Linked DNA regions of Nothobranchius furzeri. The protein of the gene in region 1 interacts with the protein of each later gene in a pairwise test. Links are inferred from orthologs where the notes say so. Each region holds a gene or a part of one and is shown in the gene's direction. Other genes may lie near its edges.

Region 1 (4,198 bases):
TGGCCCGCGTACAAAAGGGTCTCCTGAGAGGCTTCAGGACATGTTAGTTTGTCTGGTTGTTTTGGAAATGTTATGACATAATGGGTATTAGGTGAAGCTTAAACTGATGCTGACAAATGAATGTCAGCAGCTGAAGTGGTGACATCCATACTGGGGATTCTCTAATGATGACATTTCAGCACCGATGGCATCTCCCATCTCCAGATGGGTGTAGTCGTCATATTCTGAGAGACAGAGAAGAGATCTTAGTTTCTAGTAGGCTACATTTCATGACATGACTTCTCGGTCATTTTAAAGCCCCTTAACCTTTTCTTATTCTGGTAGAGCTGCGTGTAAGTAGACCGGATCACATGGGCTAACAATTGTGGAAGTCATAACCCACTACCAGACTCAATCAATAGTGAAGTAAATGTGATGGCTTTCACTCAGCAGTAACTTCACTCTAGCAGCAACAGTAATACCATACTTCTATGAGCAAAGATGCTCTTATAGAAAGAGATGGGAATAAAAATTTAAATGAAACAACGTCTTTATTTGTTGCATTGCATTAGCATTGCAATGCATGTCTTAGCTGCAACACACACACACACACACACACACACACACACACACACACACACACACCTATAATCTACTGTACTAAAGAGAAAGCATTTATTAATTGAATTTTTTTTTGTGATTTGGAAAATATTTAGACATATAACCATTGTAAAACGTGTTCCTATATTCCAGCAAATGTGCAGCTAAGGACCTTGTTGGATGTGCGCCATGATAAATATTTCTCCAGTACTGACTGATATTCATTTTTACAATACGCCATCCTGCTTAAAATGTCTTACATTAATGTAATCAAGATGTTTCCTATCATTTGGGGTCATTATAAAAGATGAGGAAGACTATTTTTAGAAAAGATAATGGCACAAAACACACACGTGTGTGTGTGTGTGTGTGTGTGTGTGTGTGTGTGTTCATATTGCTTTGGTTATATCTGTCTTTCTCTCTAAAATGCGATAAAAGACATCAAACTTAGAAAACTACCCCAAAACGTTGATTTTCCTGCTCAGTCCTCTGATAACACGCCAAACTGTCTAAAACGTGCATTAAGATTTACATTTCCATTCACAAAAACGTCTGTAACTGAAAAATTGAGCTATTTTTAGCCTTTATCATTCAATAATAGCCCCACGTGAACGCCTGTGGTTATTTTTAGAATAACGTACATTCTCGGCTCCTGCGTCAATGGAATCCCGAGCGTGCGTCAGACGGAATAACGTCTAAGCGTCACGCGTTCACCTGATTGGCTGCTAATCCGGAACGTTTCACCATGTTTGGGCATAGGCCCGCCCTTTTTGTTGACGAGGTCATAATAAAACAAGAGTGTGTGAAGCCGTCTGCGTTGGTCTGACCCAGTGAGTGTGTGTGGATGTGTTTGAGTGGGTGTGTGTGCCGAAAGCAGCTGGAGGAGCTGAATTCATCCGTTTCTCTGCTTTGGAATTAATTAAAAACTTCAAGATTCGGATTTTCTCATGCAACAGGTGAGTTACAGTCAGTTGTCTGAGACAGGAGAGGTGTAGTGTTACAGATGTTTATTCCGGCAATCAAACGCAACACAAACCTGAAACACCAAGGTATTCTAAGTTATTGTTGAAACTGTTTAATATAGAAGGGATGTGTAAATAGTGGTGTCATTTCCAAGGCTAAAGCTATAGGTTTAGCTGAAAGTTTATTCATTGAAATGTAATAAAAAGGCTACTCACCAGTCAGTGAAGCAAATAATTGTATTTAAGCAACAATAAGACTGTCTTGGGGTTAAGGCTGGTTCTTTATTCATGTCCATCTCAACTGTATGTGTGCATTTGCCAAAATTATGCCAGTTGCCAAATACAGAAGTATTTGTAAAGGCACAATCTTCATATGTTATTCAGATTCTCTTCTTAGTGTAGTTTGGATTGATGTGGTATAAAAATAAGTACTTATCTTAGCTTATCTTTCAGAATTTGTTGCGTTAACAGTCACTTACCCTTAAAAAGGTAAAAACAAACACCATACTGCTGCTGTTAGCTTTAGTTATGGTGTTTTAATGTGACTTCTATAGTAGAGAAAATAGGTTTGGGCTGGATAAGACACGTGGAGCATGTCATTTACTAAATGTAAAAGCAAAAAAATATTTATCACATTAAGAAAACTTTATTTTGATAACAGAGTTAAAGTTTTATTCTGAAAGCGACAGATTTTTATCGGTTGTGCTTCACTTGTGAAATGTTGAAGTGAGCACACAAGTGGATACACACCCCTCCACACACACACACACACACACACACACACACACACACGTGCTTCATCACCCTTGCCATTGCAGCTGGCATTCATCCAACCCTGAAACACAATCTGAAGCACACTGTGGCACAGCCGCTGTGGAAGAGGGTTGTCCTCCACTGAAGGAGGTTTTCAAAGCATTAACAGCCAGTAACACAATATCTGACAATATCTGAGCGCTCCACTGGACCACCCTCTGCATTTTCCAACCAGGACCGACGGGGCCTGAAGCGAGAGAAATGGCATGCGGGGTGAAATGAGACCGAGCACATTCAGGGTGCTAACATTGGCCACTGTTTGCATGGTTACAGAGGAAGAAACCGTTTTATTTATTGTGACAAGAAAGTCATAACCTTAAATGTCATGTAGAAATTTGTCAGGTTGCATCAAATTGAAATTACATTTTTTTTAAAGAAGCATGGATTAACTTTCCTTTTATAATGCATCTGTCCTTGTTTATTACTGCAGTAATATTTGACCTGCATGGTTAATTTCTTCAACTCTCTTTTTCAGCAATGCCCTGTGTACAAACCCAGCTTGCATCTCTGCCCCACGACAACTACTTCAGCTCTGAGCTCTTGAATCCAGACCTCAGTGCCACACTGGTGATGGAAATCACTGGCCAGAAGGACCAGTTTTCCACATCGTCCCTGCCCAGCATCAACACCCTTGTTGGAAATGGTTACACCAGGGAGTTTGATGCTTACACCTGCAAGATCACCACCTCCCCTCCCACCTCTGCTGTGTCTTTCAGCCACGCTGCAGCAGCTGAGAGCTCCAGCACACAGATGCAGAACCAAGCCTTCAAGCTGGACGACCTCCAGGTGTACGGCTGCTACCCAGGATCTTTCGCTCTCAGCTGTCTAGAAGAAACACTCTCGTCATGTGGCTCTGACTACTATGGAAGCCCCATCTATGGAACTGCTTCTCCTCCAACGTCAGGCTTTCAAACAGAGTCTGCACCTGTCTGGGATTCCCCTTTCAGCCCCTTTCCCCCGGCCCTCCAGACCTCTGTGGATAAGAACAGCATGGCTCAGCAGCAACTCTCATTTTTTACAGTCAACCCTGCACAGGATCAATATTCTCCTTTGGGACAGCACCAGGATGCCCCCAGTGGACAAGATGATCCGTTCTTCCTGTCATCTCAGCAGCATTTACCCCCAGTTCATTGCCCCTCCATGTCTATGGAACAGGGACCACAGGAAAGCCCCAGAATATTAGAAGGGGCCATGATGTCTCCTAAAAGCACAGGCTTAGGATCCAGCGAGGGTCGCTGTGCAGTTTGTGGTGATAACGCATCCTGTCAGCACTATGGAGTCCGCACTTGTGAGGGATGCAAAGGATTCTTCAAGGTAAAAAAAAAAATGTAGATTTACATTTTAAAGGGAAAAGTAGAACATTTCTATTAAATCCAACTGAAATTAGCACTAAATCATAATTATATCATCATGCATCTTTAAAAGTCTGTACTAATATTATATATATGTAGATATTTTCACTTCTTCAATATCTTTATTGATCCAAACCTAAAAAAAGAATCAGGTATTGTTTGAAATTGAATGTTTAGTTACTATTTGATGAGGAAGTATTCACAGATGTAGGTTAAAACATAGCAAAAGCTTTTGCTTTTAAAAAAAGAGCTTAAAGGTCAGATTTGTGTTTATTGTCTCAGGGTTATTATGCATCGTTGTGCATTCAACTCTTTTTCTCTGTTTTCCAGCGAACTGTCCAGAAAAATGCAAAGTACGTGTGCCTTACCAATAAAGACTGCCCAGTGGACAAGAGGAGGAGAAACCGATGCCAGTTCTGTCGTTTCCAGAAATGTCTTGCTGTGGGAATGGTCAAAGAAGGTGAGCAAATCTTAAAGCATTCAAGAGTTTGT
Region 2 (3,509 bases), on another chromosome or scaffold:
AGTGTGGAGAACGATGAGGCGGAGGGCAAACCTCCCATCACGGTCAAATTTGAAATCCCCTACTTCACAGTCTCAGGAATTCAGGTATGTGTGTGTAGGCGCTACAGTCTAGTGCATCTGGAAGTGTTTGTTCTGGATCTTAACTTTGTTCAGGCGTGGTGTTGTTTGTCTACACACCTCTAAGCTGCTTGTTCTGCTCTCATGCCTCCCACTTCATAAACTAATGCAGTCAAGTCAGGTCCTGTTATGCTGAGTGGTTCACTGTGGAGAAACGCGTGCTAATTTGATTTAATGATGCACGCCTGTGTTCCTGCTTCAACACGCTTCATCTCAGTCATTCCTTTTGTCTAGGTCCGATACATGAAGATCATAGAGAAAAGTGGGTATCAGGCTTTACCATGGGTCCGCTATATCACACAGAGTGGAGGTACATTAGGGTTACACTTTTTCTAAAATATTCAAAAAAGAAAAGCAACCATAGCTTCTTTAATCTCTTGCATTTTCTCTATTTTTATTTAGATTACCAGCTGAGGACCAACGTGTAAAGCCTTCTGGATCTCCTACTGTTTTTTTTCACGTGTCCAGAAGGTCAAAATGAGCAAAATCATCACTTTACTGCACTGAAAGGTCTTTTAAACATCACCTGCTTTAACATTATTGCTTTAAAAGGTTTTATGGAATGTGTTTGCAGATTAAACTCAGTGTGTATTCTGTGATGCATCAACTTTATTTAAATTAAAATGAGCCCTGTGAAGCAAAAAATCATCAGTGGTTTTTTTCTTCCTGTTCTCGAGGGTTTTAAAGATTTTAGAATGTGTTCTAACACACACACACACACACACACACACACACACACACACACACACACACACACACACACACACACACACACACACACACACACACACACACACACACACACACACACACACACTCTGTAAATTCCGCCCAAAATTAAAACCCTGCACCCGCCTTTTTTACGCTGCTGAGGGAACCCACAGGATGAAAATCCGAATGAACTGCCCTTGGAGGACGCCAACGTATACGAATCGCCCGCTTTCTTCGCCTCGTGTCCTGATTGGTCAGCTGCCTCTGTTACTACAGCGATAGCGTAGTAACAGCAGCGCAGCCCCGCCTCTTTGACCATATTTGAAGGAATGACGTTGAGCAGGCGAGCTGTGATTGGTCAGTGTAGTCTCTCTCCAATGTTTGTAAATTGTAGACCGGGCACATAGCTGTTTGGATCTCAGCGCGCAAATGTCTAGTTTTAAGGTTGATAAACTTTCCACTTTTGAATCGTCTTTAAACGTAACCGCTCTGTAGGACCAGCAGGCTTTAAAACTCGGTGACGCGTCGGCTCTTGGCGAACTAAAGAAGGTAGGTTTGAAAGCTGTTGGACTGTTAGCTTTTAGCCAGGATGCTACTCGTTTGTAACATCTGATCAAAGTGAAATAAAACTATCGAGACGAGGAATGTTTAGTCGAACAGTGTTGTTAGGAAAACTTGGTTCAGTCGACCAAGTGTAACCACTGCATGTTTACAGGAGGTGTCAGCGGGGAGCTGCGGTACGTTAGCCGGATGCTGTAGTAACGTTAGCTAGGTGTAGCCGACTGCCGTGTCCCTGGCTCTTTGTTTTGATGAGACGCCGGTGGTTGTGGTTAGTTTTCTAACCTGGCCGTGTGTCTCACATCAGGCAGGAACAGAGACTATCATGGTGCTAAGTCAGATGGAGGCGGGGAAAGCGCTGACCGCGGCAGCAGCTAAAGGGAACACGGACGAGGTGCAGAGGATCCTGGAGGAATGCAGAGTGCATCCCGACACTGTCAATGAGTTCGGCCGGACCGCGCTGCAGGTGAGCGGCTCTCAATCCTCACGGGATTCCTGCAGGGGTGCCAGAACGGAGCTAAATATGTTCTCACGTTTCAGAAATAATCCCTCTGAAGGTTTAATGTCGAAGAGTAGATTATGCTACAGGAGATCTGTAATTTTAAATTAAACGACTTGTGATACTTGTCGGTCTGATCGAGCTCCATCACACATAGTGTAATGGTTCATTTACCTCCTCAGTAAGTCTGATGGTCACAAAGGACTCGGACCAAGTTGGAACAGAGAAACTGGGAGGGCAGTGACCCACCAGACTAGGATTAGGCAGTCTGATCAAGCTGTTTTCATGCAAGATTAAAAAAAAACTCAAACATTTTCAGCCAGTCACGCTCTTGCCTTCAGTTTAAGACATTAATAAAAAGTGATTTCATTTGGCAACCATGGACCACTATAAATCTTTTATTTCTGCTTCATATAAATTAATTGAGTGTGTTTTACTTTCATGCTAAATAAACTAGAAATAATTTCAGTTCCAGTAATTACAAATTAGTCTTGCTTATCCGCATGTTCTCTTAAGAGCTGTATGGAAAGGACCAATGTCTTTAGAAAATTGAGCTTTTATGATGACGAGGACATGTGGAAGTGACGAGTGACCAATGAGCCCTCATCATCTTCTTGTTTTTCTCTGTCCCACAGGTGATGATGATGGGGAACTCCAAAATAGCCAGTTTGCTGTTGGAAAAAGGAGCTGACCCCAACCTCCAGGACAGGCACGGCATCGCGCCCATCCACGACGCTGCCAGAACCGGGTTCCTCGACACCCTGCAGGTTCTGGTGGAGCACGGGGCTTCGGTGAACCTTCCCGACCACAATGGAGCGCTGCCCATTCACATCGCCATCCGAGAAGGCCACCGGGACGTGGTGAAGTTCCTGGCGCCGCGATCGGACCTGAAACACGCAAACACCAGCGGCCAGACGGCCGTAGACGCGGCCAGAGCTTCGTGTGTGCCGGATATGATGGACTCGCTTTTCGCTCACGTCCACAGTTCATAAGATTGATCTAAACTCAAACCTCACACTGTTTCGTTTTTGCTTTGAAACTTGAATATGTTGCTGTATGAAAGAATCGGAGTTATTGGTGGCTTAGCATTAATATGTGACACAGGACATATTGTCTTGGCAGCTTATTGTTGTGGATGGGTGGCTCTATACTGTAGACACCTTTTGCACAGTGCAGTTTAGGCACCTTAAATTTACATATATCTGTTTTCCCCATTACCGGGAGCGCACATTTGTAGATGGTTGTCCCAGTGTTATCTAATTGTTTTGATTGTGTAAGAGTTGTAGCAGTTCCTACTCGCGTGTTTCTTTTTAAAAACAAACCCTGATTGCTTTGCATAGTTGTTTCTCTTCATTAGATGAACTTAGACTTTCAATTCACTTATTATTTATTGTTGGAAAATGACTTAATATTCCCTTTGTGATGTAAATTGCAGCATTTTTTTTGTGATTTGTTGAAATGTTATTTATACAAATACTTTTAAGACAAAAGTGAGATTATTCACTTTAATATTTGCAGAAGAGAGCACAAAATAAAGTGATGAACTTGATGTCTTGTGTTTTTCTGAGCAAGTAAATACTTGTGGGGTTTGGTGTTGAAATAGAATCTAAATGGTTATAGGAGG
Region 3 (3,980 bases), on another chromosome or scaffold:
AGCAACACAGCAGGAGAAATGCCAGCACAGGCTCCCAGTATCCGTGGTTTCAGGTGCTGGATATATTGTATCTTCACACCATAGACAATTGCAATGACCCCAAAGATAAAAGTCTAGTGTGTGTGTGTGTGTGTGTGTTGGTCATCAAATTGGAGAATCATGACAAAGTTGATTTACCGTAAGTCCTCTAATACAGGCCCAGGCCTGTATTTGACTCAAGCTCATCAAAATCCAGGCCTTTATTGGAAGGAGGACCAGAATTAGAGGCAGGCCTCTATTTCTATTTGAGCAAAATGAACTAATGGTTCGCTGGAGTTTTTGACAATTAAAATTGCGCCCACATTTTCAAAGTTAAACACATTTCTTTTAACAACGGTAGTTTCTGCTTCAGCCCTCTCCCCCCTCCCCCTGCGTAGCGGCTGCAAACTCACTGATGCGCCTGCAGCCTCTCAGTGTTCCTGCTGCTCTAAACATTAAAATAATTATTTCATTTTCTGTTCCTCACTTCTGATTACCTTCAGTGGTGTCTGTTTGTTGCAACCACCAGGTACAAAAACTAACTTGTTTTTATTTGACTATTTTTCTGTCCTGCCTGTTTATTATCTTCCTGCATCTTCTCTCAATCCTAAAGAAAAACTGCTACCTGGGTTCATATATATTCACCTTATGAGTTACCTTTGAACTGCAGTTCTAAAAGATCTACCGACCGCATGTTCTCTTTGAACTTGATATCAAATTTTCGTCTCCTCTTCATCTCCGCATGGTTAAAGTTACCCTCGCGGTCTATCACTCGCAAATCAAAAGTGAGACGATGACACAACCGCCCCCGTACTTGCTTGTTATCACATTCCACCCGGCCACAATAAGAGACCGGCCATTATTCACCTCCGCCGACTCCGACACCGGCCAAAATATGAGACCCGGCCGTTAATTGAATACAGGCCTGTATTAGAGGATTTATGGTATTTCAGTAATTCCATTCAATAGTGAAACTCATATATTAGATTAATTCATTATCACAGACTGATATATTTCAGATGTTTATTTCTTTAGCTTTGATGAGTGCAATTGATAAGTAATGAAAATCCCAAATTCTGCAGCCATGCCCTCATTTGAAAAGCTAAAGTAGTTGTAATGCTATTTGTCCCCAGCAGGGGGCGGCTCGGGGCAATAGTAAAGACACTTCGCTTCACGAGAAGAAGAAAACAAGGAAAAGGTTGGAACGCACCTCCGTTTTCAGAAACGCAACAATGGTGTCTGGTACCAACACCAATGTAAAGAGGGACCTTCTCTGTGCTTTTTGCTCCGCTTTGCTGGTTTTGAGCTCGGTCACATCCGCAGAGGAAGGCGCTCAGCTGAAAAGCTCCCAGTGTCACAACTATGCAGGAGGACACGTCTATCCCGGAGAGGCTTTTCGTGTGCCTGTCTCTGACCATTCCCTGCACCTCAGCAAAGCTAAAAGTGAGTCCCTTTCACGCTTTCATTCACTATTGGACCATACTATCATTTCCCAAACGAAACGGTGCGGTTTTGAGTGGTTTCCTCTCCTGGGAACCTGCAGCAGGTCTTTGGTCTCACGAGGACAACATGTGCATTGATGCAGGCTGCAGATTAACTTGAGATGTCTGTGACACCTGGTCAGAGTCTCGTGCAATTTAGAGTCTTCCCTTTAATACGTCTCAGGCCTAAAACGTTAGATTTGTTAAGGACACGTCACTCAATATTTGACAAGATTGTGTGTCCCGCCCCTTTGGAACTGCTCCAAAGCCAGCAACACACACACACACACACACACACTTATGTGCTTATTTATTTAAATTATTCAGGTTTATAAAAAACATTTGGACACACATTCTATTATGTTCCAGTCACTAGTCATTTATATTTCACTATTGTAGTAATTCTTGCATGCTTTAATGAAAAAAGTAACTAGGTAGTTATTTTTCTTGGTAATTAGTTACTTTTATAATCTTGTAACTCAGTTAGTAACCGAGTTACTTTTTTGACAAAGTAATCAGTAACTATAACTAATTACTTTTTTAAAGTAACGTTCCCAACACTGCCAGGGAGAGGGAAGTCTGGGCCAATAGGCGGCTGCCCCCGCGCCCCAGCCTCGGATAAGCGGCTGAAGATGGATGGAAGAAGTATATTATGCAGATTGTGTCCAGTGACCTTTTAGGAAATATAGGGCCTCAAAACTCAGTGGATGAATCTCGGAGTAAAATTAGGTTTAGATATGTTTTTAACAAATTTGTCCTCAAAATTTACAACTGGACCCATAATCATTTCAGGACTGGACCCTAACAGTCATTTTTATAAACCACCACAGTGGAAGAACACTGAATCCGCTAATCAAACCAAAGATCCTAAATTCTAGCAGTTATACATGGATTTATTTTCACTTATTGAAATGACACTAAGTATAACATTTTTATTCTTACTTTGTTTCAAATAATTACTGCTTTGTTCCTATCCAGTTGGCCTTATTTGTTTACTGGTAATAATTCCATTCCCGGCTGGTATTTGCTGAACGTACGGACGGTGTTTGGTCTGTAAATTCAGTTTTAATTCATGAGTGCATGCTTGTTTGTCTTTCTCTCCTGCTTAAGTTTCAAAGCCTGCACCGCATTGGGAAGGAACAGCTGTCATCAACGGGGAATTCAAAGAGCTGAAACTGTCTGACTACAAGGGAAAATATCTTGTGTTTTTCTTCTATCCGCTGGACTTGTAAGTACCTTTTGAGGAACATGTCATGTAAGAACTTTGTGTCTGCCTGAATTTCAGAGCATATTTTGTGTATTTTTTCTCCTTGCAGCACATTTGTCTGCCCTACTGAGATCATTGCTTTCAGCGACCGTGTGCACGAGTTTCAGGCCATCAACACGGAGGTGGTCGCCTGCTCAGTGGACTCCCAGTTCACCCACCTGGCCTGGTGTGATATCCAATAAGCTGTGGGTCGTTGGTGTAGTTTGGTGTGTTTTTGCTCACCATTTCTGTTTTAACAGGATTAATACCCCTAGAAAGCAGGGTGGACTTGGACAGATGAAAATCCCTCTGCTGTCTGACCTCACCCACCAGATTTCTAAAGACTATGGAGTCTATTTGGAGGACCAGGGACACACACTGAGGTGTGCTTTAACATTTATCACCTTCATCAAGTGACCTTGTGTGGCTGTTTTGTTGATGGCATGGACAAACTGTCAAACACGTGTGAGGGATGTTATTTATTTCTGTGAGTTATACATTTAGCCTCTAGGTAGAGCTAATCTCCCATGTCTGTATGTTTGTCAGAGGTCTCTTCATCATTGATGACAAAGGCGTCCTGAGGCAGATCACCATGAACGATCTTCCTGTTGGGAGATCTGTAGACGAGACTCTGCGGCTGGTCCAGGCTTTCCAGTACACAGATAAACACGGAGAAGGTACATGAAGCTACTTTTCTTTCTTGTCTTTTATTCACCACATGGGTTATGATAACTGCCCTGTTTCCCCTCCACAGTGTGTCCAGCCGGGTGGAAGCCAGGCAGCGATACAGTAAGTAGAACCCAGACTGTGGTGATCTTTAGTGTCTAGTTAGTTTCGTCTGTTTAGACATTTCACTTATCGTTGAGCTCAAAGGATAGCTGTGACACTAAACCTTTTATTTGAATGAGTCTACTGATCTTACAAATTGGTTTTTGAAGTACATTACGTTTTAACATTTCATGATATTTAAATCCATTTAGACTTGATTATGGTTAGTATATGTGTGCAAATGTAAGCTATATGCATATTATATGATTTTCATTGTTTTAACATATTTTAAAAAAAAACTATTTCTGATGATGTGGCAGTTCACCACGATCCATTACATGTAGAGGAAACCGTGATTTTATATACGCATGCAGAGTTCTACCTCTTATGCAGAGGCTTAATTATACTATTGGGTGTGTTATTGGTATTTAATAATGTAATTTTTACAAATATAATCTTTGTAACCT

What was found. The genes of interacting proteins can lie anywhere in the genome.
Region 2: the proteins of probable nuclear hormone receptor HR38 (region 1) and cyclin-dependent kinase 4 inhibitor D-like interact in binary tests that used the Homo sapiens proteins (3 or more experiments, as listed by UniProt). The two-hybrid records come from large-scale screens. The link is inferred for Nothobranchius furzeri from reciprocal best matches to the Homo sapiens genes NR4A1 and CDKN2D.
Region 3: the proteins of probable nuclear hormone receptor HR38 (region 1) and prdx4 interact in a two-hybrid assay, tested with the Homo sapiens proteins (2 studies listed by BioGRID and IntAct). The link is inferred for Nothobranchius furzeri from reciprocal best matches to the Homo sapiens genes NR4A1 and PRDX4.

The regions. Positions count from the first base shown.
Region 1 is NC_091743.1:50,513,119-50,517,316, forward strand, and holds the start of probable nuclear hormone receptor HR38, read left to right. Parts: upstream 1-1,398; 5' UTR 1,399-1,535; intron 1,536-2,829; 5' UTR 2,830-2,831; coding exon 2,832-3,668; intron 3,669-4,036; coding exon 4,037-4,166; intron 4,167-4,198. UniProt on the Homo sapiens protein: Orphan nuclear receptor. Binds the NGFI-B response element (NBRE) 5'-AAAGGTCA-3'. Binds 9-cis-retinoic acid outside of its ligand-binding (NR LBD) domain.
Region 2 is NC_091747.1:71,358,396-71,361,904, forward strand, and holds cyclin-dependent kinase 4 inhibitor D-like, read left to right. Parts: upstream 1-1,238; 5' UTR 1,239-1,377; intron 1,378-1,693; 5' UTR 1,694-1,711; coding exon 1,712-1,852; intron 1,853-2,520; coding exon 2,521-2,877; 3' UTR 2,878-3,009; downstream 3,010-3,509. Other genes in the region: ap1m2 (AP-1 complex subunit mu-2), read left to right, coding at 1-84, 352-427, 520-545. UniProt on the Homo sapiens protein: Interacts strongly with CDK4 and CDK6 and inhibits them.
Region 3 is NC_091750.1:46,010,997-46,014,976, forward strand, and holds the start of prdx4 (peroxiredoxin-4), read left to right. Parts: upstream 1-1,180; 5' UTR 1,181-1,250; coding exon 1,251-1,461; intron 1,462-2,609; coding exon 2,610-2,727; intron 2,728-2,815; coding exon 2,816-2,932; intron 2,933-3,005; coding exon 3,006-3,128; intron 3,129-3,291; coding exon 3,292-3,422; intron 3,423-3,499; coding exon 3,500-3,534; intron 3,535-3,980. UniProt on the Homo sapiens protein: Thiol-specific peroxidase that catalyzes the reduction of hydrogen peroxide and organic hydroperoxides to water and alcohols, respectively.